Linked DNA regions of Oreochromis niloticus. The main gene of each other region encodes a partner of the protein of the gene in region 2 in a complex. Links are inferred from orthologs where the notes say so. Each region holds a gene or a part of one and is shown on either strand. Other genes may lie near its edges.

Region 1 (7,316 bases), about 5.1 Mb from region 2:
TTATTGAAAAAGTTTGCAAAAATTCAACATGTTTTTTGAAATGTGAGTTCTTCACCATTACTTTTCTTTACTATTCACTATCTCTGTGAATGGTACTCATGGCCATTGATCAGTGGGTTTTGATCAGTGGGTTTTAGTCAGTGGCTGTTGATCAATGGGCATGAGAATTTGCATAATTAAGATTAAGGAACTGACCCAACCACCCCATTCACTGAGCTGGTTGGTTTCAGTCATTATGCAAATGTACTGTTTATAAGATTGGGGAAACCTGCAGTCAGCTGAGACTGAAGAAGTCACTTGGATGAGTGACGAAACGTTTCTCCCACAAAACGTTACGTCCAGATGAACAGAATCAACCTTTGGAGATTTTCTTTACTATTGTTGCAGGATGGGGTCAAAATCTTCAGCGTGGTCTCAAAAATGGTATTTAGTAGTTCCCTGAGTATATACTCAATAAATTCTAGTATTGTGACAGTCTTAGCTAGTAGTCAATGTGCAAGTTTCAAGGTCCATAAACTCCTGAAAATGATCTGTAGAGTTCAAAGTAGTATCAATACATATAAACAAACAAGCAGTTTTCATATGAAAATCAACACTATCATCTCATTACAATGTAATGTTTGGTGGGAATTTTCCTGGCATTAACGTGGAGATTACTTTGAAGTAAAAGTACATTTCTAGTTAAATTAAACAGGTAGTGCACACCTTAACATGTTTTTAAGCTGTAAACTGCATGATAACAACTATACACAGACCACAGAAATGAATTCTATACAGAAATGTTGGCATTTCTACCAAATTTATGACAAAATGCCATCTACTATTTTAAATCATGTCTATGTTAGGAAAGCCAGGGATGACAGTCAACTACTTTGTAATACTTAACATCATAAAATATATATCAGATACGACTGTTAATGCCCCCTAATAAGGGCTAATCATCAGCATGCACCACGGTCCCTTCGGCCTCTGCATTTGGGTGGAAGCATAGATGGATTATTGCATGGGAAAAATGGGCGCATTAGCTTGAGAATGTTTTTTCATTTGTGCAATGTTATTGTTTTTTTAAATATTGGAATAGGCAGTTTTTTAAACTGCAGTATAATGTAAGATTGTTTGAGTATCCTGTTATGAAGCCTAGAGCTGAGCATTTTTGTTATCAGCTGGTGTTTTAAAAATTTGCCTTTAACATATCCTGTATAATTCCCCTTCCTACCTCTTAAAGTGACCATAATTTTTAAATGGAGCATCACACTTAATTCATTATAATTCAAAAACTAATGACTGTCATCAGTAAAGTCTTGAAACTGAAGAAAACTGAAGAAACACGGCAAAGCACTCTATGGCTGGCTCTCACATAACTGTGATGCTGTGCTCAGATAAAATACTAACTCAGCTTTCCAAGTCTCCTACCTGTCTGTCCTTGCTGCTGTTGAGCCACAGGTCCTCCCATACCTGCTTGCTGGCCTGAACCCCCACCAATAGTGACCTGCTGTAAGGTTGGACCTCCACTCATCATGGACCCCTGTCCTTGGTGTCCAGGGGCCACAGGACCAGGAGGCCTACATTTGGAAAGTCCCTTTCCAAATGCAACAGCCGAAACTAATGCGTTAGTGTCAGCAGGGTTGAAAGACGGTTTGCTCTGTCGCATAGCTGGGTTAAAAAATAAAAATAAAAAATTGTGAGTCATCACTGTGTTTGTGTAATTTATTAAAGAAAAAAACTGCAGCAGAAGTGCAACATACCAGCACTTTCTGCATCTCTGTCCTCACGAGGGTTGCTTAGCTTCTCCAGCAGAGTAGTACACAACTTATTCAAAGCCTGGATCTGTTTCTGTTCATGACAATAAAACCTGAAGGCTTAAACAAAAATTGCAAAATATTCCCAAAAATGACAGAATATTTTATTTTATGTGAGTCCAAACTAACCTGGGCCACATCGGGGCCAATACGTGCTGCCTCTGTACTCAGCGTTTTCTCCTGCTCCTCCACCTCTGGGTCAGGTTTGGTCCGCAAGTAGTCCGGTACGATCTCATGGCTGAACACTGGAACGCGCTGCTCCGTAAGTTTCTGGGAGCAGGTAAACAGACACCTCAGAGAAAATACTTCCTTTTTTTTTTCTTCAAAAAAGGAAACGTGTCATCAGCTGTGGTACTCACTGCCAAGTCCTCATCTCGGTCTGGAGACAGGACCAGGGGAATTATAACCTGGTTGCGAAAGGATGGTGTCTTCTCGTTCCTGAGCAGTTTATTGATGGTGTTCAGCTGACCAGACAGAAGAGCGAAGTTATCCAAAACAGAAGGCCTACAGGACAAAAAAGGGAACATCTGTGAGAGCTCAAAAATAATCCACAAAGCACGCGTTTCAGATCAAATCTGTATATCCACAAGACAAGATTTTCCACAGTTTCTGTCACATTTTCTCCTGTAAATAAAAGGAACACAATGTGTTCAATGTTGTGTATAATGTTGCTGTCAAAAACTGCTTGAACAACAAAGTACGAGGTCAACTTAAATCTATGTCGAGTTTCTTTTAATACAAATCAGCCTGCTTTACATTGAAAACAATTTTACTCACCACGTCAAACGCTCGTACTCGTTTTCTAGTTTGTAAATGAAACTGTGCAGAGCATTTTTAACGTGAGCCACCCTCGAAATGAGAGACTCCACTGACGCCTCTAATTGCTTCTCTTCTCGTTGCTAAAAGACAACAAAAGCATTAAAAACCTCCCAAACTGACTGCAAATACACAGTTGTGCTAGCTAAACGGCTAAAGAGTGCATAAACTCAGCCACTTAAGAGACCAACAGTCACTTAAACAAGAAGAAAATGAGTCATCAGGCAAAATAAATAAAAGTTTTAATGAATGTTAATGCATCTAAGGAGGCATTATACTGTCGTCCAGAATATATATTCATATTTATTACCTGCATTGTTCAAGTAGAATTTAGCCAACCTCAAGCGACACAGAAGCACTTCCGGTTCATCACTGTCAAAGTAAAAGCCTGCAGATTAAACATGGCGGAAACGCTATAACGTTTATTTATTCAAATTTTTCTCGTAAACAAATAATCCAGTACACAACTTATGCGACATTTAAGCAAATATTTCAGTTTAGAGTTTAGAGTTCAAATGTGATATATGTAAAAACTGAATGTATATCTATATTAATCTATATTACTATAGTAATTAAAACTATAGTAATTAATTTGTACATTAACTGTGTACTCTCTCTCTCTCTCTCCCTCTCTCTCTCTCTCACTATATATATATGTATATATATATACACACACACACACACATATATATATATGTGTGTGTGTGTGTGTGTGTGTGTGTGTGTGTGTGTCAGATAACGCTTTGCAGGTTCTCAATTACATTCCTACTTTATAAATGCTCCATATATTTATATACTTAATATATTATATATATAGCAACATACAACTGCTTTTAAACTACAACATGGTGCTGCTGCCTTATCGGTAAAGCAGTTATTGTTTAACAATATGAACCCTGTTGTCACGAGACAATTATTCAGATACACAGACACAACAGTTAACCTAACATGTATGATTCTGGGAGGAAGCATGAGCACGCAGAAAGAAACCAGGACCTTCAGTTTGCTTCAACGTGAAGCACAACTCATAAGAATTGCAGATCATTATGAATGAATGATCTGCAATTTTAGAAAGCACCTGGTAGCATATAATATCAAATACACTGTCAAAGTTTGTGGTTGTACACCACCAAAATCCTGCTAATTAGTATTACCAACAATAATAACATCACTTACAGAATAACTAAAATGTCAATTAATAGTACCATTTTCCAGGTACCAGGAAAGGAAAAGAGAGATCATATTTCTCCCACACTATCAACTCTTTACTGACTCTGTTAAATCCAGAACTTAAAATCCTTCTCCTCACATATAGTAATAAAAGTATCTTTTTATTATATTATCTCAATATAGTGAATACAATACTCTTGACACCTTCTCTACTTTTGAATTTGGCCTTGAAAGTTTTTATAACTCATAAAGTTACAGCTTAGTCAGGTGACCCTGCACTAGACCAAGCTTGCTCAGTGACGTCCCATATTAAACTTATTTAACATATTATTTTAAAGTATTTTTTCTCCACTCAGCTCTTTTCACTCATGTATTGTATGTTATTAACTTCATCCGCTGGTCTGCTGTCCTTTGATCTTTCCAGTTGAGGCAGATGTCTGCCCTTCTGATGGAGGTCTCTTCCTGTTAAAAAGAAGCTCTTCGTCTCGCCCACAGGGGGATCGCTGATTGTTGGCATTTTCTGTCTAATATTGTAGTCTTTACCTTGCAATATAAAGCACCTTGAAATGACTGTTGACGTGATTTCAGTATAGCATATTCATACAGTTCAACTCACAAGCAACAAAGAAAAAGAATTTGCTTCTACAAGTTTATTTTGATACAAAGAAGCAGCTGTTAGGCAGAAATTTTCTTCTGATTACTTCAATACTTTTGGAGTCTACATCATGTTCCACACACTCTGCATTAATTATGTGTCAGCCTAGCACAGTAAGAAGGGAGAAGTGAAGAGCTGTAGTCACAGTTCTGGCACAGCGGTGTAAAACTTTAGAAGAGGCTTTCGACGTCACCCATTTCCACCACTACAGTCTTCAGCTGGGAGTAGTACTCGATGGTCACCTGGCCGTTCTCTCTGCCAAAGCCTGCAGGGATCAGGAGAGAACTGGTTAATTTATTGAGCAAATGCAGCATTTACCTGGACCATGAAAAGCTGACAGCATCTTACCCGACATCTTGTATCCTCCAAACGGCAACTCTATAGGGTTGATGTTGTAATTGTTGATAAAGCAGGTCCCTGCCTCCATACTCGCTGCCACGCGATGGGCTCGAGAAATGTCCCTGTAGGAGAAGGAAAAGAACCGACTTTTATACAGAGAAAAGCAGTCTGTATGCAACTTGAAATTGCTACTGTGCAGTGAATTGGCCGCACTGTGGAGACCTTGAGCCACAGCCAACAGAATGCAATAAACTCATTATCTTAAAAGAGCAAGCCGTCAACAGTTGCACCACACTGCTGACTCACGACAGACTGACCTGGTGAAGACCCCAGAGGCCAGTCCAAAGGTGGTGTTGTTGGCTCTCTGGATCACTTCTTCCTCCGTGTCAAAAGGCAAAACGGACATAACAGGGCCAAAAATCTCCTCCTTCACACAGGTCATGTCGTCTCTGCAGTTATCTGTCGAGAGACTTTGTGTGTTAAAAAACAAAGCTGACTGTGCGTGTGCTGTACCACCATTAACCAAAGTGTTAGACGTACCAAGTACGCATGGCGACATGAAATACCCCCCTTTCAGTTTGGGGTCACTGGGGACAAAGGGATCTCCTCCACAAAGCACTCTGGCTCCCTAGAAATAAATAAATAAATAAATAATTACAAGAGCTATGTTAAAGAATACCCACAGTAATGCAGATTCTTTGTGTTTAACTGAGAAACCACAAACTATTAAAGCTAATTCTCTCCCTCTAATGAAAAGCACCTCTTTCTTGGCCTGACTGACAAATCCCAGCACTTTCTCCAGCTGTGGTTTGCTGATCAGAGGTCCCATCCTGGTGCTCCCGAGCAGGGGGTCACCAACAGGGATGGCCTTGGTCCTCTTGACTACCTCCTCTAGGAACTGTGGCATGATCTCCCGCTGCACAAACACTCTGGTCCCATTGCAGCACACCTGCATATTTCAGCACAAAGTTAATACACCAAAACCTCCAAGAGTCTTGGTTTGCATCAGGCTGCACAGTACACTAAAAGTACATTGTACAGACTCACCTGTCCCTGTGTCAGGAAGTTCGCCATTAGTGCCCCCTTCACTGCATTCTCCAGTTCGCAGTCTTTGAAGATAATGAGAGGAGATTTCCCTCCCAGCTCCAGAGTCACCTGCTTCACACTCTTTGCAGACATTTCCATGACCTGAAAGTAAAGAGAGCAGCCATGGTCTGTGGGCTTGTATAATAAAGTCACCTTTAGCTTAAAATAAAGTAGCAGATCTTTAAGGCTGGTTAGGGTGACCCTCCTCCAGCCTGCAGGAGATCTCCAGAGCAGAACAAGGGCTACTGTTGTCACCTCCAGGGCAGTGTACTCTGAGTCTGGGGACTCTTTTATCCTCCCGCGTCCCCACTGCCTCTCTGCAGTCAGTTTTCTCTTTAGGGGCAAACATATTTGTAACTGACATCGTTTCACTTCTTTGTACGTTCCCTCATGTCAGTTCCTATAACTTCAGATCTTCCTTAAATTTTATCCTATGATTATTTCTTTCTTATACTGAGATGATGACTGTTATTCTTTTATTGGCAAGTTCAAAAATCGCAACTAGAAATGCACATGAGGAATCAACAGTTGCTAAACAGGCGAATCACAGTAGGTTGGGGCTGTGTCCCACAGGAGAATAAATACCCCAATACGTGACTCCAAAAGTGAGCCAATAACCCAACATTCCCATCTTTAATGTCCAAGTCCCCAGCACTAAATTCAGTTTACAGCCTGGTTGAAAATAATAATGAGAAGAAGAAAAAGAATTATTGACTTCTTTGAACCGTTTCAGTTTTGGCAGCTTGCTAACTGCATTCTACCTGCTTGACTTCTGTCTTAAAACAAAACATCATAGCAGCAGACAAAATGCTAATGCTTAACATGGAGACATCACAGTGCCTATGTGCATCTATCATACTCTCTATGTTCTAAACTAAAATATTCTATATTAGTAAACAGATCACATTCCTCTGTATGACAAAAAAAAACAAAACAACTAAGAACAAAATTTACTTGGAAGACCATCAGTGTATCTGGACATTCCAGTTACAGTCCATATGTGGGAAACAATGCTGTACTGGTCTGTGTACCTTTTTGCCTGTAGGAACACTCCCAGTGAAAGAGACTTTAGCGACTTTTGGATGATGGCAGAGCAAGCTGCCGGTCTCTGCTCCACCTTGGACCACACAGAAAAGCCCATCAGGTACCCCAGCCTCTTTGTAGATCTCAGCCAGGATGACAGCAGTCACCGGAGCCATTGGAGAGGGTTTATATACGATGGCATTACCTGAAAACACAACCACAATTAAATCCTGCAAGTTAAGGCCTGCAGAGCTACCTTTGTGAATGGTCACATGAGACAAGACGAACAGATAGAAACAAACTGTACTACAGGCTGATTGATAGGAACGTGTGGTAGAGTCCAGTATTAAACAGGCCAAAAGTAATTTATTAAAAGAACAACATGTTCATCAGTGATGTGACAGAGGCTCTGTGGCTCTGCTGCATTA
Region 2 (7,356 bases):
CCTCTGAGTTCTGAAGGTCCTGGTGGTCTCGGGTTTAATGGCCACACTTGTCTTATTGATCTGACTGTGCACACTGGTCTTACTTGCTCAGAGTTCTCCCGGGTCAGGAACTTGAGGTGGGTGACAGCGGGGTACTTCTCCCTCCTCAGCGGGTCGGTGGTGCAACGCAGGAAAAGTGACGGCAGCAGCTCAGTGTCAATGCGACATTTCTCACTCACCACGCTGACCACCACCTGAAACAACCAAAGGTAAAATGTCAGGTTAGCATCAGAGGTGATAGCCCCTTGGTGACGCCAGCAAATGTCAGGTTAGCATCAGAGGTGATAGCCCCTTGGTAACACCAGCATCTTTGGTCCTTACCTTGTAGAACTGCACAGGCGAGGAGCTGCTGCCATCTGTGGCAGCCACCACAATGTTCCCTCCTCCGGTGAAGGCAATATCGGCCAACGCCACGCGCCCTCTCAGCCGGCACAGGCTCTCGCTCGCCGTCAGCAGAGCGCCACCCGGTTTCAGCAGCGACACTGTCACCAAACCACTCACTGTCACCGCCAGCCAGCCCTCCATCGGCTTACCGCCAAACAGCGTTAGGGACGGTGAAAATTTCACCCGAGAGAACTTCTCCCCGAAGTTTGTGGAGCCAGACTGAAGCAAGAGGAGAAGAGGAGGCAGGGCTTACTCAACTGGTCTCAGTGAGTATTAAGACACAGAGCTATCACTGCAACGAGCCAGCAGGTGTGTGCACATGTGTGGGCAGCTATTACCATCTCCACGTGCAGTGCCAGCTTGACACCATTGTGCAGCCAGCTGAGAGCGATGATGGGGTCTCCATCTAGCGAGCTCGACAGGACACTCTCCCAGCTATTCACCAGGTGATCCGACATCGACCAGCATTTGATCTGCCCGTCGCCGTCTGCAGACAGCAGCCGTGAGCCTGCAGCACGCGCAAACACACAGACACACACGTCACTTCCTGTCTCTCTCAGCAGAACGTGACACTGCAACATGTACTGTACATAAAGCAAGAGAAAAGCAGATTCTCCTGCTTGCACAGTCTGAACAGCTTATAGCCAATCCGATTCCAGACCAATAACAGTCAATCAATCAGCTGAGCTCATCTCCAAAACATTTAACTGAAGTCTCACCTGATTGGTCCCACTCCAGACAGGAAATGACCTCAGTGTGTCCAGAGTTGATGGAGAAAACATCCCAGGGGTGCTCAGTGTCGATGATATGGATCATGTGACTCACATCTGGAAAACAGAACATCAAGTTCAGCGTGTGTTTGTGTGTTCGCCTGTGTGTGTGTGTGTGCGCGTGCGTGTGTATTTGTGTACTCTTGTCGTCGTCCTCGCTCTTCAGGTCTGTGGTGAAGGCCACGAGGTTCCTGCAGGACCAGGAGCAGACCAGCGGGATGGAAGGGCAGTGTGTGCTCTTCGGACGCTTCTCCCACTCACACACATAGGCCAGTTCCATGATTCCACCACAGAAGAAGAATCTAGAGCCCAGGTGGATGCGTCACCTAAAAAGCAGACCAGTCAGAGGGATTTAATCTTGTCAGCTGCTCTAATCACTTAAACACCAATTACTGACCTGTTTGTGTGGATAGAGCAGAGATGAACATGAGTGATCAGACCTCTGCCTTACCACTACATGTGTCAGACAGATGCATGAGCCACGGGCTCCCCAGTGCCACCTTTACCTGAAGTAGTGGAAAGTAAAGCTTTCAAAAGGGACACTTAGCCACTGGTACAGAGATGTGAAAAAGCAAAGCACAAGTAGAAGGACAAAAGAAAGAAAAGGAACACACATGTAAAGAAGAAAGCTCTTAAAACATGTGGTTGTCCCCACTGGGCTTTCATCAAATCAGCAAAGATGCACAGAAAAGAAGGTCAGACACCAACTAGGGAGAATAAGAAGGACAAAGGGGAACAACACTGTAATCCCGTATGTAGCAGGTTTATCATAGAAGCATCCCAGTGTACTTCAGACCCAGCCACACACTCAGACACAAACTAAACAACAGTGTATGCTGTGCAGTGCCGTGCTGCAAGGAAAGCTCAAACCTGTACACAGAAGAGAGACTCAGCTGTACATCTGCATCTAAAAGTCAAAGGTCACTCTTTTGAGGATGCCAATGTTCACATTTCGGACAGAGAGGACTGATGGTTAGTGGAAGAAGCATCTATGTCCACTGTGAACGAACATCTTTGAACAGAGGGCGGGGTTTACAAAACCGACTATTTCCACCCAGATCCATACCTTGGCTCAGGTGTCCTCAACAGGTCACACGATGGGCTGGGGCAACATCTCACAGTGGTTTCACCATTAAACCCCATTGATGGTAATGAGCCCCACCTTCTTTCATACCTTGGTTCTTGTGTTGACTCACATGATCAATAGTGGGTAACCCTCAGGATCACCTCCAATGGGGATTAAACACCTGGGACCCTCCACTTTAATTTGTAGAACTAAAGAAGCCTGTTGCATGAAACGTCTTTACAAACTTAAAGCAGTTCAGCTGCTTCCTTTTCAAACTGAGCATCAAACTGTTCACCCAGGCCGTGCCAAATAACACCATGGTCACAGTACTCAGTCACAACAGTGAATGAGCAGCTGCACTAGCCGCTAGCGTTAGCTCACCTGACGGTTTTCCGCTCCTGTCACCCAGATGAGAATGAAAATTAGCTGTTTTCCTTTTCCTGTTTTTAAGGCTGTTTAAAATTAACTTAAGGTCATTAAAACACCGAAACAGCAGACTTGAGTTGAATTCAGCGCTTTTTGCTTGCTGCTGTTAAAAACAAACCGCTCTCTGTTAAAAGGATGTGGGGACCCCGCGGCTGCCTCTACAGCTGCCTGACTATAAAACACTGACGGCACCCCGAAGCTCTACTCAAACAGCGTCAAGGCGAGACGTTTAAGCCACGTGTAATATAAACGTGTTTGTCTGTGAGATGACTGATATAACCTCTGTGATCAGTTTGATATCGGCTCTGTGCGACGAACCGGCTGTTAATCTGACGGGCGCCGCGGACACCCTCCTCTATCCCCGGGAACATTCTGCCCTCAGCGAAGTCTTCTAGGCGGAAAAAAAATTAAAAGATACCTGCATCGATTTTAGTTTATTGTGGTTTCCTTTACTAGTATTTACTAGTTGTTGTTTTTAATAATGGAAACTAAAGCTGAAAAAATATCCGACCTCGATGCATTGTCATCTTGTTCATCTGTCCAGAAACGTATTTTAAATCTGGTGTCAGGTGACTTTTTCTTTAGCTGTGAGTTCACACTGACAGGGTGCACACAGTGTTGCCAACTTAGCGACTTTGTCGCTATATTTAGCGAGTTTTCAGACCCCCTTAGCGACTTTTTTTCTAAAAAGCGACTAGCGACAAATCTGGCGACTTTTTCTGGTGTTATTGGAGATTTATTTATGGCCTGCATTTGTATAGCGCTTTTCTAGTCCATAGGACCCCAAAGCGCTTTACACTACATTCAGTCATTCACCCAGTCACACACACATTCACACACTGGCGATAGCAAGCTACATTGTAGCCACAGCTGCCCTGGGGCGCACTGACAGAGGCGAGGCTGCCGGACACAGGCGCCACCGGGCCCTCTGACCACCACCAGTAGGCAAACATGGGGTTAGTATCTTGCCCAAGGATATTTGGCATGCAGCCAGGATGCAGCCTGGGATCGAACCACCGACCTTCTGATTAGTGGCTGACCTGCTCTGCCACCTGAGCTACAGCCACGACTTTTTGACGTGAAAGTGGGCATCGCTTTTACTCTCAACAAGCAGCGGGTGCTGCCGTGGGCACCTCGCCCGTACCAAAGCGCTCACAGGCGGAGGATAGTCCTCCCCCAGCTGCTATCAGGGCAGACGATGTTCACACCTATGCGTCCGAACTGCAAATGAATCGCGCATGAGCGAAGCCGCTGCTCCCGCACTGACTGTAACGCAGTCAGTTCTTCTTTTACTGTTATGCTGTTTTGTGGATCACGAGGTTTAAAACTACTTATAAACACACACACACACAAAGTAACTCCACCAGAGTGCCTATTTCGGGTCTTTTTTGCCGGTCCAAGACCGGATAAAGGAGCAGGGTTGGAATTCTGACTTTAAAAAAAACAATAATTGCTAAAATAAATTTAATTTGTTGTTCTAAATAAATTCTAAATGCATTTAGGACGTTTTTTACTCACTTTATGTCTCTTCCACAATGTTATTTCTCTCTCCAGCAACGTAGGTTACAATTACATTAGCATGACCAATTATGCAAATTAGGCGATGATGTCATTTAGCGACTTCTGGCGACTTTTAGGACAGCCAATAGCGATTTTCCTTACTGAGGAGTTGGCAACACTGGGTGCACAGCTAGGGATAGGTATCGTTTAGGTTTTATCCGATACCGGTGCCAAACCGGTACTTTTGAAACGGTGCCGGTGCTTAAACGGTGCTCGAACCGGTGCTTAAACAATGGAAAACACAAACTTTGTCCTAAAACCTCTCATGTTTAGCTGGGGGGATTTTTGTAAAAAGATAACAATGTTAGCCTTTCCTGCAGCTATAGGGCATATATGGTGTCACTCTATCAAACAAGAAGACAGCCGCATGTAACTATGACGGTCTTTGCTAGTTCACCTTACGTGCATTAATTTAATAACGTGGTTAGCCTACTCAATGTAAATTACACACGAACAACATTAAGCTACTCACTCAGAGAAGAACTAAAAGAACGTACGTACCTGGGCCTGCCTACTATCCTTGGAAAGGTAAAATGATTGGCTAGAATCCAAAGTGTATGACATCTCAAGAAAAAAAAAGCACCGAAATGGGCGCCGCTTTTCGGTCTGGTTACTACCGTTTATGTCAGAACCTGGCACCGGATACCCATCCCTATGCACAGCTAGATTATGGTCTGATCCAATGATCTGCTGTATGAGTGAGTTCGATCCTCTGTTTTTTGATCACCTTCTGCGTTGTATCAAGAGCAGGATGCTGTCCATATGGTTGGTTTTTGTGTGGGCTGAAGTAAAGAAAGACTTTATTGAGAAACATCACGTCCTCTTTTCCTGTCTCCTCCTCCCTGATCCTGGTTTTCTTCCCGATTAAAGAGAGTTCTTCCTCTCTGCTGTCACCAGGTACCCTCTGATGTTGTTGGTCGTTTGTATAACGATGAGGTGAGTGTAACCAAACAGTGTGTTTGGTTATTGTGTTTATGTTTTGTGCTGTGTCGGTGTGTTTAAGTAAGCAAATGTATTTGTGTAGCACATGTCGGGATACAACAGGTGCTACAAAGGTGCTTTACATCAAATCAAAACACGAAACCAAAAAAACAGAAATGCAGGTAAATTACAAATAAACTAGAATGAAACGTCAGTTTAACCTCCTAGGACCCGGTGACCACATATGTGGACATCACATTTTGGGTTGTCTAGACCAAAATACAAACTTTTGCTCTACAGGGGCCTGATATCCAGTTACGGGGACATTATATTGCCACACTTCTATCAAAATTTAAAACGAATGTCCTCATATGTGGATCTCATTTTTCTCATAAACAAAAATCAGGTAAAAAAAAATAATAAATAAATCTGGTAATTCTTTGTTTTTACATTCATCAGGTCACAATCAGCCCAAATAGCAAAGAGAAATTAAAAATGCATGCCATGAAACAGTTCGGGTCTTAGGTGGTTAAAGCAGTGAGAATCATTGTTTAATTTTGTGTGGAAGGTTTAGTGGTAATGCTGCTAAAAACACATTGTGAACCTTTGTTTCAGAGATGGGTTTGGCGTGCTCTGTTTGGCTACACTTCCTGTTTCTGGATCTTTTGGAGAAAGTTAGAACCCTCTGTTCAAGTGTTTTTCAGAAAGCAGGTAAAACTGAGCTTCCTGTCGCTGTGATTCTGCTATAATACTGCAGCTGTTGGCAGATGTTTGTGTCTTGCAGTGAACCATCTGAATGTTTGAGGACTAAAAATCATTCTTTATTTTTGATGCATCATGAAAACAATCAGAAACTTCCTGTGCTGCTGTGTCAGATTAAAAGTCTGCAGATAAACACTGGAACTCTTTTTTTTCTCTAGATGAATCAGACACGTTGTCTCTGTTTTAGGCTCTAACCAACGGACTGCTGATTAGACAAGGGGAACTGCTGTCATCTTCAAGGACTAATCAGCAACAGCCATTTCTGTTGGAGAGTCTTTAGAAACCACTGCATCCCAGCTTGAGGAGAAACTCAGTCCTGTATTTCAGGATCTCCTGCCCTGCTGCTTGAGGTCGAGTCCTGTTTCGGAGTCAGGCACACTCACTGGTTCTCCTGGTTGGCAAATCGTCCGGCCTCCCAGAGCAGAGCTCCCTGGTTCTTATGTCGATTGACTCGAGTCGACTCCACAACCTGAAAACAGGCCAAGACGACAAGGAGTTAAGGAGACAAGGAGTAAAGGGGTTAATGTTACAGGAGAAGCCCATACCTCGTTGTTGATCTCATCGACTGGCTGGATTCCTGCGTACTGTAAAGAAACAGACAAATAAAAAATAGACTCTGTTATTATTGTGCAGTTTTAAAACCTCAGTTCCAACAGTCAGGACACTGGTTGAACTGCAAATAAAAACAGAATGCAATAAAATGCAAATCCCATAAACTCATATTTTATCCACAATAGAGCACAAAAAACACAGTAAATACTCAAAATGAGACATTTTACTGACAAATCTGAGCTCATGTGGAATTTGGCAGCAGCGACTCGACCTAAAAGTTGCGACGGAGCAGTAAAAGTGTGTCAAAGTCCGGCAGTGCAAAAGAAAAGATCAAAGGTGAGCTGGCAGCAGGTCGGTCACGTGATCAGGTGGAAAAAGATCCTCTCAGAGAGGCGGAGCTTCTCAGAGGTTCACCAACCTGTTTCAGAATCACAGTCCTTGCTGTGAACATATCATCAACTACACAATAAGACATCATCAGCATATTCAGTGGATCTGAGCGCAGGGATGAGGCTGTAAATCAGTATTGGATTTCTGTGATCTTCAGCTGTTCGCCTCAGCTCACAGACTGATGTTATGGAAGAGGAAACATGGACCTGTCCAGATGTGTTGCTGCCATCAGATTCAACATGAGCTCATATTTTTATTCAAACATTTACCATGGTTAAACATTTTATGTGTTTTCTGTGTTCTGTAGTAAATAATATATTAGTTTAATAGATTTAGAGATTGTTGCATTCTGGGTTGTTTTATAGTTCACACAGACCCAGCTTTGTTGGACCTTGGTTTTTATTTTATTCACTTCCATTTTATTTGTGCAGCATCATTTCATTGACAACTTCTAAATGATCATCTTCATCATCTCCTGAAGCAGGA
Region 3 (7,373 bases), on a different chromosome or scaffold from region 2:
AAGTCGGTGAGACTGAAGCTCAAGACACAGGGGGGCGGGGGGGCGGTAGAAACTGAGCCCTGCCACCTTCCTTCATACAGTCTAATCCCACAATAACCATGCAGGCAGATTGTGTGAAAGTTTCATGCTAAGGCAGAACTCTCACCACAATGAGTCAAGTTAAGATATTCTCACAGCTGCTCATCGAGAATTACACTTTTGTGGTTTGTCACTCAGCACACATCTTTGAAACTACAAGCAGCCGTTTGCGTTTGCAACTGTAGCAAGGTTTACATCGCAGTGCTCTCTGCATACAGAGAGAGCCCAGAGGTCCTCTGTCAGACCGAAACAGAAACAACAGGCAGCTCCTTTTACAACAGGGTGGAGGCCAGCGGGAAGATCTTCTTGTAGACTTTACTGTCTGACAGGCAACACGCCTCAGCAGCCCACACATTCAACTCCACAAGTCAGCTCGAAAGCAGTTGAATAATACAACCAGCTCCTTTGCAGGGTGAGATCACACAGCAGTCGCAGCCGCTCTGCAACTCTAAAACTGTCATTTAGTTGCACTTTTCTAGTGAATGTTGTGTAAAATACACTGCAGCGTCACCACACTGCACAGCACTCTTTTGGGTTTTTTGCACTTTTTGGGGGGGAAAGGTGAATTTTCTAACTTTTGAATGACATTTTTAGGACACTCAACATACACATCTTTCAGACCAAAGAGGATGTCAAAGTGACAGACTCCCATGCCTTCCTGTGTAGTCTTTCCATTCTAAGCTGTTATTAATTGCTGAGAGGTGCAGATTAAAAATAACTAAATTTGCATGGACTTTTAAGTTTAGTTATGGGGAAGTTCCCACCTCCTCTGCTTTCTCTTTTTTGAGAGTGGCACTCTTCACAAAGAGGCAATAACATAACATCTGCATTTTCTGTTGTGTTTTTTTTTCTTTTCTTTTTTCTTTCCTCGGCACATGTTCATGTCCTTGAAGTCTGAGGCCAACTGATTGCAAAAAAAGCAGGAATAACTGTAATATGAAACCAGATTAAAACCCATCCTAAAATTTGCCAGGTAAAAATCTACACGTGATTTTGGTGCCAGCACTTAATGTTTTTCCCTCCACTGTTTTCTCTTACATTCTTCTGCTTACTGACTGGTCTGTTTGGTAACTGCACGCTTTAACCACCTGGTATACTTGCTGACCTCTAAAACGACATGAAAAGTCAGGCAAAGCTCGTTCCTACACTTTAGAGCCCATAAACTTACATTAATGTTTTCAGGGTATTGTCAGACCAACTTAAAAGGTGTAAATATTATATTTATGTGGATACAATAGATTTAAAAATGGAAACAAGTAGAAAATACCGGAAACATCAAGAGTATCAAAGGTGAAAAAAACAAACGCCACATGAGGAAGTAACGTCCAGTCAATTATTTGACGTTAGTAGTTTAAATGATACATTGTATGATTTTAAAATGTATTGTTTAAAAGTGTTCAAAGAGTGGAGAAACTGAAATATATCAGGAGCCCTGTTAAACAACAGTATTGTGTCTCTACGCATTTATGCTTAACTGCGCCTTTCCCCCCACCGAGAACCGAGTTTGCTGTTAGCCATTTTCTACTCACTTTGTCCTCCTCGGGAATAAGAGTTTCGGCGTCCTTCTTCACATCTTTCTGTGCCAGAGCCGTGTTAAATGATACCTTGACCATCTTGGAACAAGTGGCGACAATCTCCGAGAGAAAGGGAAAAAAAGCAACACGACAGAAAGCAAACAACAGCAAAGACAATTTGCTCCGAAGTAAAAATAAGTCGCACTTCTCCCCCGGCCAAGTCTGCTCTGTTGTTGTGATAAGAGCGATGTAAAGCTAGACTTAGAGTCGCCGCGCTTCCGACTTTCAAAATAAAAGCATATCCACGACGATTAATCTAAGACGTTCCGATATTTGACTGAAATACGACAATATAAAAGCAAAATGGCACAATCCAAGCTTAAAACTTAGCTTAAAAAGAACATCAGTGTGAAATTATGTAATTATCTGTATATACGTGCTGTATTATACCTTATTATACTTGCTTTTATTATACTTTATTTTATAGCCTCTCCTATATAAGATATGTATTTCAAAGCGATTTACAATAGGCCGAGAAGCACAGTGAATGGGAATGCTAGACAAACAACAAATAAAACAATGCAGAAAACAATTAACGAAAAACTCATTTAACATATTTAATAATATACCTACTTAAAAGAACATATAAATGACTGTTAAATAATAAAATAGATAAATAATACAAAAAGACAAGTAATAGACTAAAATGTTTTATTTAAATATAGAACAATAAAACTGTGCAAATATTATGAAAGTGATTAGATCACGACTGTTGCTCTGGTACCTAGAGCTGTCAATAAATATTATATCATTTACTTCCGAAATGTAGTGGAACACATACACTAAACTCAAGACTTTATTACTATAAATATAATTTATAGAGTTTATTACTTTTCTGGGATGTATTTACATAACCAACCATCAACACCAAGGAGTGGGGGACAATCCGAGCTACACACACTGATTAATACGATAAAAGTAAGGCAGGGGCGTCAAACATAAGCCCAGGGACCAGAATCACCTCTCCAATCTGGCCCCTGGGACAGCTTTTTAAACTGTATTTTCATAAGTTTTATGAGTTTTCCTACTGATCAAAAAACTCCCCCATGACCACTAACCTAAAATAAACAAGGAATGAAAACACAAATGACACTTTTTTACCATCATTATTCAAATCTATCATTTTTGCAGTGGCTTTACAGGAGAAATACAAAAACAAAAATTCTTTCAATTAACAAAAATGTTCTGTTTGTATAAGTAAAAGACCATCTGTGCCATAAGCCAATAGAACTTTTTCTGTATTAATACATTTGGGTGTAAATTTAATACAATTAACGTAATTAGTGGAAGTAATTTATGCATTTATTTATAACAGTTTAAGCCCAAGGAGTTGTGCTGAAAAACTTCAGTATTTCTCTGTAATGCAGAAAAACTGAGATGTATTGTGTAATGTGTAGTTAAACTTCTTTGCAATGACAGAAGTAGGAGTTAAGCTCAAATCTGGCTTTATATTTACACAGTGTAAAAGGAGTTTGATAACCCTGCCATAACATAAGAGAAAATAAGAAAATTAACATAATGGCACGAACATAAATGATGACTAAAAAGTGGTAGTGGATTAAAGAAATCCAAAATTTAAATAATTTAATGGGCTTCAAGAAAATATACACATTTTTGATTTACAGAAAAAACAGAAGAACTGTCAGTTTTAACTGATGAGCTATATAATGAATTCAGAATATATCGTATTTATTTGATTCAAATATCTCAACAAACCACGTGAATAAAATCAGGCTGCAATGTGAGTTCTCATCTCCGAAAGGCAATATCCAACCACGAAATACAGATACACTGTACACAGCTTCCAAGAGAAAAAAGTTTATATGTATTTTATCTTTTAATTACTGTGGCACTTTTCCCATTTTGCATAAATGCTTGCATTACATAAACTTTTGTGAAATTTTAAGCTGGTTTGCACTTTTATTTTGACGGTCCGGAAGCTTCTTCAGTTTCGGTTTGCGCTGTCTACGGCCTGCCACAGACTGGGGGAAACAGCCGACATCTGGGAAATGGCTGTTTCCCCCTGGTCGGGGACATGGGAACTAAATAAAATAAAGCTGTGTGAACACATTTATATACAGTGACAAAAAAACAAAACAAAAGATTAATACAATTCTTTCACGCCAGCTGGGATGTATGATGTGTGATGTACTCAAAAAAAGAAAAACAATGAAAAAAATATGGCAGAAGTACTGTATTCATTTTTATTTTCAAGCGCTTGAATCGTTACTTGAATATTTCCACATTATGTCCCGTCATAATAATATATATATATTATCAACCTTTCCAACTTAATGTACTCCTTAATTTTTCATTCGTGTCGCTTTTCGCTTGAATGAAGGTGAAATACGCTGATAACAGAAAAAAAATATTTGACGCTCTTATCTTCGTAAATGACAGGTAACCTATAATTAAAAACATAGGTCTGACAAATAAATGCAGTGCATTAAAAAGTAAAAAACAAAAAAACGGGAGGAATTTATTTGGAGTAGATGAACTTAGTACAAATTATTGAAAATTATAGATATATAAATAAGGCACCATAAGTCTAGATTAGAATATGGCTGCCAATAATACTTTTTTTTTGTTTGTTTTTTTGGGGCTGCCGATAATACTAATGTAATAACGCCAACAAATGCTACGGAAGTGAGAACAGGAGTCATATCTCTAGCATACCCTAGAGACCAAAACGCAAATTGCCCGAAAACAATAAAGAAGAAGAAGAAGAAGAAGAAGCATTAGCATGTTGGAACATCATTTCCTGTCTTGCGCAAACCAGAGGAAAGAAAGTAAACATGGCGGCGGCGGAGAAATCGACGAAGGAGAGACTACTGTCTGTGCTGGATGATTTGGAGGTTTTATCCAGGTAAAATTAAACTTCGTGTGGGGGCTTTCTTGTGTCTCGTGTAAACGGTTTGGTAAGCTATCCGTATTTTATCTGTGAAGAGATAAAATACTCATATTTGGAGCCGTGAACTAGCACCCCCAGTTTGTGCTGATTACTAGCAGACATGCCGCTCACTGGCCGAAACAACGGCTTTTCTGAAAGAAAGATAACGAACCCTGGGATTTGAAACAACCTGAAACACTGTTCTAAGTCTTTTCTTGGAAACTTTTAGCAGTTAGAAGACTGAGTGTGTCCATTTTATAAAACAAGGTTGCTGAAGAGTTTGTAGGTACTACACTCAGCGGCTAATAGTCATTTTTAAAAGGAAACTACCACAAGAATGGCCAAAATGACTAATCAGAGAAACAAAGTGAACATAGGCGTACAGAAAACGATCGTCAGTATGAGCTTTAAAAAGTAAATAAATATATAAAGATAGAAATTGATTTGTTGGATTGAGTTGTGCTGTTTGACCCATTTCTCATTGTGTGTGCGTTCATTTCAGGGAGCTGATAGAGATGCTGGCCCTGTCCAGGAGTCAGAAAATGCCTCAACCTGGAGAGGACACGCAGGTAACACCCCACTCAGCCTGCAGTTGACACACCGAGATTTAAACAAACTAATGACCCTCACAGTGACCGTCAGACCATGTGTAGTCTTAGGGTTAGTGGTGATCAAAGCTTAGCCAAAGGCCTTCTACAAGCAAGTCTCACTATGTGGCAGCTATTCTAAAATGTCTCCAGCTATATATTTGGTCAGTGTTGTGAAACACTGTCCAGTTTGATACTTGTCTGCCACTCGGTGTCTGTATTTTTCCAGTTTCTGGTACTTGATCTTTAAGTTCTTTGTGGACTTGCACAGTCTTAAGTTTTTTGCTTTTTGCTGTTTTAAAGTTTTGGTGAGACATGATCACTGATACAGGATCACTGTTTCTTTAAGGACAAACCCTGTGCTTAATTGCTAACCATAATTTTTTAGATTTAAGCATTTAATTTTAATGCGGTCACATTTGAAGATATTTAGTTCCTTCCAACTGATTTTCTGTCGTCTTGTCCATAAATCTTTCATAACTTTTGAACCTTTTATTGTGTCTGAGTCTCCAGAGAATGCCTAAAATTATTTTACAAGTTAGACTTGACTGATTTTAGTTAGTTACAGTAACCTGTATGAAGCGTATCAAATAGGAAATCTTTGATAACAGAATGTGTATATGCTTTATCCATAAGATTCTGGAGCTGTTGGTGCAGAGGGACAAGGAGTTTCAGGAGCTGATGGAGGTGGCACAGCAGCAGGGGAAGGTTCACCAGGAGATGCAACTGCTGGAGAAGGAGGTGGAGAAGAGAGACAGTGACATCCAGCAGCTCCAGAAACAACTGAAGGAAGCAGAACACATCCTGGTGGGTTTGGCTTGTCTGTTGTTTTTAATTTTTAATTTTTTTTTTTTCATCCAGAGCAGGGCAACGCTGACAGATTGAAATAAATGCTCAAATGTTTTAAGTATGCTGGTGTAGCTGACACTGTGCTCTTACAGCAGAGGCGTTCAGGGTTATAGTGTTGCTATTGTAAATGTAAAGGGGCCTATGATTCTCTTCTTTTTCTGATTTACTTTGTTACAGATGTACATATTAAACATGGTCAAGGTTTAAAATAATGAGGCCAGCATATGAAGAGTCATGATAAACAGAAACTACATCTTCTTTAAATTCTAACATCATGTGACAAGTGATAGAGAGGACTGATATATTTCTGTGTATCTCTTTCAGGCCACTGCTGTTTACCAGGCAAAAGAGAAACTGAAATCCATTGAAAGAGCCAGGAAAGGTGAGGGAACACTCCCGACACGTTCTGGTGAAAGCTGTGTTTGATGGCTGGTTTTCTCTTTGATGTCTTGCTCATAAATTGACACTGTTTACATGTTCTCTGCAGGAAGCATCTCATCAGAAGAAATCATCAAGTATGCTCACAGAATCAGTGCCAGTAACGCTGTGTGTGCTCCTCTCAACTGGGTGCCAGGTATGTGCCAGGCTCTCTTGTAGCTCCCACCGGGTGTTGGTAAAAAGTTATGTTCAGCTTCATTCACTGTCATCATACTTGACAGGTGATCCACGCAGACCGTACCCTACCGACCTGGAAATGCGTAGTGGGATGCTTGGTCACATGGCCAACCTGTCCACCAATGGTGTGAATGGGCATCTGCCAGGAGATGCATTAGCTGCTGGGAGGTTACCAGGTAAGTCCAGCTGAGCAGTTAAAGAAAGGAGTGCCCATGCCTCCTGGCAAAGAGATTGTAGATGAGGTCAGAGGTTTGTTACAGTGATTTCAAAATGTATAAGTTAATAATTTATCGTTATAATGATAAAAAGTTAAAGGATGGATCCATTATTTTTCTTTTTATCAAGTATAAACACTGAACACAGATTTTATTTGTTGCCATTCAGACTGCATCCACATCATGTTCTGTAACATAAGAAACTTGGCAAAAAGTGCCAGCTTTCAGATACTATATAAGGGAGCTGAGATAAGTAGTGTCAGTCAGTGTCTGGCATTTCACAGAATAACCACTTTTCTCTCGTGTCACTTCAGACGTCCTGACGCCTCATTACCCGTGGCAGTCGTCTGATGTCTCAGTGGGGATGCTGCCCCCTCACCACGGCAATGACTTTGGCCTGGAGCCTCCGGGTCACAACAAGGAGAACGAAGATGATGTAGAGGCCATGTCCACAGATTCTTCCAGCAGCAGTAGTGACTCCGACTAAAAGTGTGTCTCAGAGTCAAGAGACGCTGAGACGTGTGTGTGTGTGTGTGTGTGTGTGTGTGTGTGTGTGTGTCTGTAT
Region 4 (7,024 bases), on a different chromosome or scaffold from region 2:
ACGTGCGGCATGAAATCCAATAATCCAAACAGAACTTCAACTACATCTGTGCATGTACATTCACACGGGTCCCTAAAGTGCAATATAGATTCAGTGTTTGATGGATACACTACAGTTACTATGAGTCCCACATTTAGCACAAACGCATTTAGCACAACAACAGGTGGGTGTTTAGCCATATGCTGTTTGTGAACCTTTTACACCTGAATCAAAGAAATAATAATATTTAGTTTTTGGTTCCACAGGTTTTGAAAAAGAGCCTGAAGACTGGATCCCACTTATTTGTGGTATATCAGTATCATGTGTCATTTTAATGGCATTTATAATTTTTTGCTTCAAATCAAGATTACATTCAGGTAGGCTATGCAGCTGCGCCTTACTTCCACTTCCTGTGTATTTCATTGTTTTGTTTTAATGGTTTGCATGAAAAATTTCCCCCCATGATTCTGAATATACTTCTGCTTCTGTCTCACCAAAGCATTTCCTGTTCAAAATTGTTGCTGTGGCTTGAATAGCAGGGTAAGTATCTGTGCTGACATTGAGGTGTAACCTAAAACTCTCATGCAGAAATGAAGTGTGTGCGTGTTGCTTTGTCTGGGTAATGAAATTTATTGCTTTTTACTGCAGGTGGAAGAGGAGTCTTCAGTGGTTTATTCATCAATTATCATCAGGACACCTGGCAAAAGAATTAATCACATGGCCTCTAGTGATTGTGTTTATTGTGAAATAAAAGTATAGAGAAAAAAAGGTCCAGGATAAGTGAGGTCACTTTTATTTATATAGCACATTTTAAAACAATATGGATTGGTCCAAAGTGCTTTTCAGTTGACTGTTAAAATAGGTAAGGTCATTAAAGGGCACTGTTTAGAATTATACTTTCCATCCTTGCTGTCATTTGATTTAGTAACTAATTCCTCAAATTACTTAAATTGTAACTTCACCCACATGTTGCTCAAGGGAAAATCTGAAACCATGAGTCTCTTTTTCCAACAAAGGAATGATTTCTAATCGAATCTTTAACTGAACTTTTACCTAATTCTCTGAAAGCCGGGCAGATGTATATATCTATATATATATCTATTTACTTAGCACTTTTAACTTTTATTTTTATGGTTATTTAAGCGTTGTTTGACAGTATGTTTTGCACTAAGTACCACAGCAATTTCCTAATGTTGTAAACCTGCTCAACATTTGGCAATAAAACCCTTTCTGATTCTGATTCTGGGTGTTTTAAAGTACATGGATCGATAATTTTAATGAGAGGCTTTGAGTGTGATACAGATGTTATGTAACAACATTTTTTTTGTTGTTGTTGCTCAGTACAGAGGTGAGGTCCATTCATGAACTGCATGAAAGCACAGTTTCTGGTTACCTTGCAGATCAAGTTAAGATAAAACAAATGTAGGTAAAGAAGTAAAGTTGACCTCAAAATGTTACAGCAATTAAATGCTGCTTTCACAAAGAGAAACTTTATCAGGTACATTAAGTTACTCGAGCTCAGCAATTAAAACAAATTTACAAACAATTTATATTTTTTTGTTAAAAGAAAAAAACACTTATTACACTAAATTTATTTTACAGCTGTATTTTGCTTTGCAGTTTTAGGTTTTACATAATCACCATATAAAATATGACCGCAGTAAAACAGCATCTAAGCAAAAGGTTGCATGAAGAAGGCTGTTAAAAGTGTTAAAACCGCAGCAGTGCTGCGTCTGCAGTGTTAATCAATAATGATCATCAGTGATAGCAAAACAATAACACCCTGCAGATAAAAGGTTATAGTATGATTATTACTGTGAGAAATATGTGTGTTCATACTGTGAGGACATTTTGGTGAGGATAGTCACTGAAAATAATATTTTGGATCCTTTTATTTGTTAAAGTGTTTTATTCAAAGTAAAGTATACAAAAAAAGTGAAAACAATAGAAAAATAGTCTTAAGAAATAAACCAAAACTCACTAAATGCGTTGTTTGAAAAGGCAACAGACAATAAAAAAATATAAAGGAAATGTTGTTTAGTCAAAGATGGAAACACAAAGAGGAGGCTCTGGTGAAAATGACTGTGAGTCAAATGTGTTGTACTGTACTGTTTTACTTATATTTGACCTATGTCACTAATACCACCCACGTCATAAAAACAAAAACACCAACACAGAAACTAATAAAATGCAAACTTATCATTTAACACTTAAAAACCAAACTGAAATCAGAAAATCCACCCTGAAAACTAAAATAACACCAAAATCAAAGGTGGAAAATCCTAAATTAAAATAACAATGGCAGTATTCATAGCAGTCATCTCCGAATAGCCTAAATTGAAAACAATTTGAGTACCACAACACCAACCAACAGAGACAGACAGGACATGACACACAGGACAAACCACTACATCACGATCTGTCATTGGTGGCAGTGTGCACAGCTCTAAGGAAAACAAACCCAAATAAGGCAGCTGACCCAAATAATATCCCCAGGCATGCACTCAGGGTCTACTCATCAGAGCTGGATGGTGCATTCATAGACATATACAATCTGCCTATGCTTTGAGTCCACTACCAGTGGGCCCCTCTCCAAGAAACATACTGCCACATGCTTAAACGACTATCATCCTTTTGGACTTACATCAATTGTGATGAAGTGTTTTGAAAGGATCAAAAAGACCATCCTGGCTACCTTGGACTCTTTACTTTATGCACACATACAGAATCAGTCCACTAGAAGGTAGTAACACGTCTGTGAAAATGCTGTTCGTTGACTGAAGCTGCATTTAATGCTGTCAGACTCACACCCTTTCTCTGTAACTGAGCTCTGAACTTCCTGTAAGATAGACCCCACTCAGTCAGAGTTGGAAACCAGACATCAAACATCAGAACTGTGAGCATTGGTATTACTCAGGGGCATGTGCTGAGTCCACTGCCACATGCTCTCTTCACATATGAGTGTGAGCATCCCCCTAATCAATACCAGAATTATAAAATTTGCATATGAAACTAAAGTAATTGGGCTGATTACTGGCAGGGATGGCATAGAGAAGAGAAGTGAAATGACTAGTGGCCTGGTGTCAGGAAAATAATCTTGCCCTAAATGTAGATAAGAGCAAGGTGATCTGAGGAAAAGACACTCCAAGACAGAGGTGGAGGACACACATGAGGATGGATTTCACCTGGTCTCACAACACCCAGCAGGTAGTGAAGAGCACATTGACTGTACTTTCTAAGATGACTGACAGGGCTCAGCTGCACTACTCAAGACAGGAAGACTTCAGTGTGCGAGAAAAACTGCACAATAAATCACAGGATCATCTTTTCATTAGTATAAGACATTTACACCACCAGGGCTGTCAGCATTGCCCACATCAACATTAAATACAACACAAACTCACAACACCACCAGTTAACAGGTAGGTGGTAGATGCTAAAGGTAGATGCAACAGGAGTCTGAAATCAAAGACTGTAAGTCTCAAATCAGACTCATGAATAAGACAGTCAGTGTCGCCTCTCTTCTACCCCATCAATATTATTGACTATTAGTGTACTTATTATTACCTGCTATGGCATAAATTTGTAAAGACCGGCTTGCAAATATGGACAAAGCAGGTACAACTCGGGTTTTCAAACTCAGGTCTGTTTTTAAAACTAATTTTAGTGTTTGCATTTTCAATACTTGCAATCTTTGTAAATTTTCTGGATTCTTTATTTTTATTTTATTTGAATAATTATGTTTGTTTTGTGTCAAGAGATTGGCAAAATTAAGTGTAAACTACTGCTTTTATTTCCACTGTATGTATGCCAATAAAACCTCTAAACTTAATGCTCAGTAATATATACTTTTCACAGTACTGTGAAAACAGTAATAGTTTCCACAGTACTGATAATCCATTCGTATAGCCTGTGTTAATAAAACCAGAGTACCTATAGTCTAAAAAGCCTGTCTGTCCATGACGTCCATGTCCATTTCTTTCTATTTTATGCACAGATGACCTGCTGTCGATATTTTTAGCACTACCAGTAGGTGGCTGTAATGAGCCTCAAAGTTGGATGTCTACCGATTTGACACACCAAAGGAAGACGCTTCTCATTCATTGTTGTTGCTAACTGTGTTCACTTTTTCTTTCATAACTAAAAAGACGTTTATTTCTTTCCGCGTTCGCTTCTTTGTTTTTGAAAGGTAATATATTTTTAATGTTTCTGTAATAACATTGAAACGCTTAGCCTGGTAGCTTAAGTAATGTTGCGGTTAGCTACTAGCAAACCGAGTAGCTGTGTAGTAGTAGCCGTGTAGTAGTAGCCGTGTGTTTAGAACCCTGTTTAGGCCTTTGGTCAATAGTATTAAAACGTTATCGAGAACGAACACTTAAAACATTTACCCGGTTTTCCTCGGCTACTGCTCTTCGTGGTTTCGTAGACAATAGTGCAAACTGTTGTTTCGAGTGAGTTACACTTAGATTAGTGTTACCACCGGCTATTAGCGAGCTAAAAGTTACAAACTCTGTTACCTATGGCGACAGGTGGAAATTTTTTGTTAATGATGGCATTGCTCCATCAGATGTTCCGACATGTATATATATGTATCTGCATATAATTTTCTTTCTTTAGGCCCAAAAACCTCAAAGTACCCGAGGAAAGATGGAGGCGCCACCTGTTACTGTAATGCCTGTCACTGGGGGCACAATTAACATGATGGAGTATCTGTTACAAGGTAAGATATCATGCATCCGCTGAAGCAAGTAAGCAGGTAAATAACTAACAAGCCCTGAGTGTTATACATAGCATATAGTACTGATAGTGGCAATACTACAGATAGTAGCTTATAGTAACAAAAATGCAAAGCAACAGCAATAATCATTTAATAGTTGCATTGTGCAACTGTTCAGCACAATGAGTAAAGTTACATCAGCAACAGCCTTTGGTGTGAAAGTGAATAGTGAATGAACAGTGTTACATATGTCACGTTTGACCTAAATTATTATGCACTAGCTCCTAAATGGTAAATGGTAAATGGCCTGTATTTATATAGCGCTTTCTAGTCCCTAAGGACCCCAAAGCGCTTTACATATCCAGACATCCACCCATTCACACACACATTCACACACTGGTGATGGCAAGCTACGTTGTAGCCACAGCCACCCTGGGGCGCACTGACAGAGGCGAGGCTGCCGGACACTGGCGCCACCGGGCCCTCTGACCACCAGTAGGCAACGGGTGAAGTGTCTTGCCCAAGGACACAACGACCGAGACTGTCCGAGCCGGGGCTCGAACCGGCAACCTTCCGATTACAAGGCGAACTCCCAACTCTTGAGCCACGATCGCCCCACATGACCCAAATAACAGCTAAATTCTTATTATAATATTATTACAAATAATTTTTAAAATGGTGCATTTACAATGTTTAAAACCTTATTTCTTAACTTGGTCACTCTGTTGTAGAATACTGTGGGTCTTCTCCTGGACCATTGCAGATTTGTTTAGAAAATGTATGGTCCAAAGTTTGGCCATTTATGATTGCTGTGACATTTTACCTTGTATCAAATACTTTTCAAGATATATTTTCTTTGAAATATGGACCATTGACCCTCTTCCAGCATTTTTTTTGGTCATACTTTGAAACCAGATGTTTGAACACAAATATCTGTTAAAGATAATAAAGAGAAAAGGATATGATTTCCATATCCAGATCTGCAGATCCAATCTGTAAAGTGTCATATTTAAACGCACACCAATTTTTAATGGTATACAATTGAATTTCACAATAATGCAAAATGGAAAATTATTTCTTAGTTATAAAAATGAAAAAAATCTTTTTTGGGGGGTTTAAATTTCATGCTGCATTGAGCAAATGTGAAGTTGTACCACAAAAACGAAAAATAGTAATGCATAGTTTAACCCAAATAGACCAAAATTCTAAATTCTGGAGGTTTCAGATGGTATTCTAATTACAACAGTAAAAAATATTTTGATTTATTGAGATAAGTTTAATAAATCAAAATGAGTATTTCATGACCTACTGAACTGTCTTATAATTTACACTAGGTTTAAAATATTACTGCGTGTGCCCTGAAAGTGGGTGGATGTGTTGTTTTTTTTTTTTTCTTTAAAGGAAAATCCTTGAGGTATTTGATATATGAAGCAAAAATGTCAAAGCAATCATTATATATGTACAAACTATGGACGATCTAAGATAGTTAAGCCCATAATGTCTCTAAAAATATTATGATTTGAGTTTGTAATGTTTAAAATGTGAGCTCTTAGCTGTTGATTTTCTCTGAGAAATGTTAATGGAGACTATATTTATAAATATAATATGTATAGAGTCCTAGCCAAATGTAATTTTTTGTATTTGTTCCTTGTGCACTTTATTGAATCAGGGAGTGTGTTAGACCAGGCCCTGGAAAGCCTCTTGCATCGCCTTCGAGGTCTGTGCGACAACATGGAACCTGAGACTTTTACCGATCATGAGTTGGTTTACCTTCTCAAAGGCCAGCAAGGAAACCCCTTCATTTTGCGTGCCCGCCGTTCCCTCTCCCACCCAACTGCTCCATGGCACCTACGCTACCTTGGTCAATCTGAAGTGGGAGACAAGAGTCGCCACGCTTTGGTACGCAACTGCGTTGATGTTGCTGCCTCTCACAGCCTTCCGGAGTTCCTCAATGAGATGGGCTTCCGCATGGACCATGAGTTTGTCAGCAATGGACACATATTTCGTAAAGGTGCAATGAAAATTGTGGTCAGCAAGCTGTCACGCATACTTGTACCAGGGAATACAGAAAACACTGAGCATCTATCACTTTCATACCTGGTGGAGCTGAGTGTGTTGGCTCCTGCAGGACAAGACACTGTGTCAGAGGACATGCGCAGCTTTGCTGAACAACTCAAACCCCTGGTTCACTTGGAAAAGATTGACCCTAGCAAACAGAGACATTAGCCAGTTTTCCACAAAAAGGAACTCTCTCCGGGTGACTGGGAACCTTGGGAGGGACTCCATGAGTTTCCACCAGAGGAACTAGGTCTAAGTCAACTTCTGAGG

Evidence for each region.
Region 1: med16 (region 2) and med8 share a complex: the UniProt entries of both Homo sapiens proteins name them as parts of the mediator complex. The link is inferred for Oreochromis niloticus from reciprocal best matches to the Homo sapiens genes MED16 and MED8.
Region 3: med16 (region 2) and med4 share a complex: the UniProt entries of both Homo sapiens proteins name them as parts of the mediator complex. The link is inferred for Oreochromis niloticus from reciprocal best matches to the Homo sapiens genes MED16 and MED4.
Region 4: med16 (region 2) and med18 share a complex: the UniProt entries of both Homo sapiens proteins name them as parts of the mediator complex. The link is inferred for Oreochromis niloticus from reciprocal best matches to the Homo sapiens genes MED16 and MED18.

Annotation. Positions count from the first base shown.
Region 1 is NC_031986.2:30,947,536-30,954,851, reverse strand, and holds the start of med8 (mediator of RNA polymerase II transcription subunit 8), read right to left. Parts: upstream 3,017-7,316; 5' UTR 2,932-3,016; coding exon 2,926-2,931; intron 2,699-2,925; coding exon 2,577-2,698; intron 2,304-2,576; coding exon 2,159-2,303; intron 2,070-2,158; coding exon 1,929-2,069; intron 1,834-1,928; coding exon 1,746-1,833; intron 1,654-1,745; coding exon 1,414-1,653; intron 1-1,413. Other genes in the region: aldehyde dehydrogenase family 9 member A1, read right to left, coding at 4,611-4,705, 4,789-4,901, 5,097-5,238, 5,320-5,407, 5,540-5,728, 5,827-5,967, 6,897-7,093. UniProt on the Homo sapiens protein: Component of the Mediator complex, a coactivator involved in the regulated transcription of nearly all RNA polymerase II-dependent genes.
Region 2 is NC_031986.2:36,000,693-36,008,048, reverse strand, and holds the start of med16 (mediator of RNA polymerase II transcription subunit 16), read right to left. Parts: upstream 3,004-7,356; 5' UTR 2,641-3,003; intron 1,744-2,640; 5' UTR 1,591-1,743; intron 1,520-1,590; 5' UTR 1,474-1,519; coding exon 1,335-1,473; intron 1,251-1,334; coding exon 1,143-1,250; intron 932-1,142; coding exon 762-931; intron 643-761; coding exon 361-642; intron 234-360; coding exon 84-233; intron 1-83. Other genes in the region: misp (mitotic interactor and substrate of PLK1), read right to left, coding at 6,308-6,397, 6,474-6,512. UniProt on the Homo sapiens protein: Component of the Mediator complex, a coactivator involved in the regulated transcription of nearly all RNA polymerase II-dependent genes.
Region 3 is NC_031987.2:29,462,395-29,469,767, forward strand, and holds the start of med4 (mediator of RNA polymerase II transcription subunit 4), read left to right. Parts: upstream 1-4,373; 5' UTR 4,374-4,447; coding exon 4,448-4,518; intron 4,519-5,044; coding exon 5,045-5,111; intron 5,112-5,765; coding exon 5,766-5,936; intron 5,937-6,302; coding exon 6,303-6,360; intron 6,361-6,465; coding exon 6,466-6,552; intron 6,553-6,637; coding exon 6,638-6,769; intron 6,770-7,122; coding exon 7,123-7,295; 3' UTR 7,296-7,373. Other genes in the region: itm2bb (integral membrane protein 2Bb), read right to left, coding at 1,608-1,691. UniProt on the Homo sapiens protein: Component of the Mediator complex, a coactivator involved in the regulated transcription of nearly all RNA polymerase II-dependent genes.
Region 4 is NC_031976.2:26,228,930-26,235,953, reverse strand, and holds the start of med18 (mediator of RNA polymerase II transcription subunit 18), read left to right. Parts: upstream 1-4,010; 5' UTR 4,011-4,168; intron 4,169-4,193; exon of another isoform or gene 4,194-4,430; intron 4,431-4,596; 5' UTR 4,597-4,626; coding exon 4,627-4,699; intron 4,700-6,365; coding exon 6,366-6,922; 3' UTR 6,923-7,024. Other genes in the region: uncharacterized protein LOC109204220, read left to right, coding at 1-163, 246-356, 479-519, 628-738. UniProt on the Homo sapiens protein: Component of the Mediator complex, a coactivator involved in the regulated transcription of nearly all RNA polymerase II-dependent genes.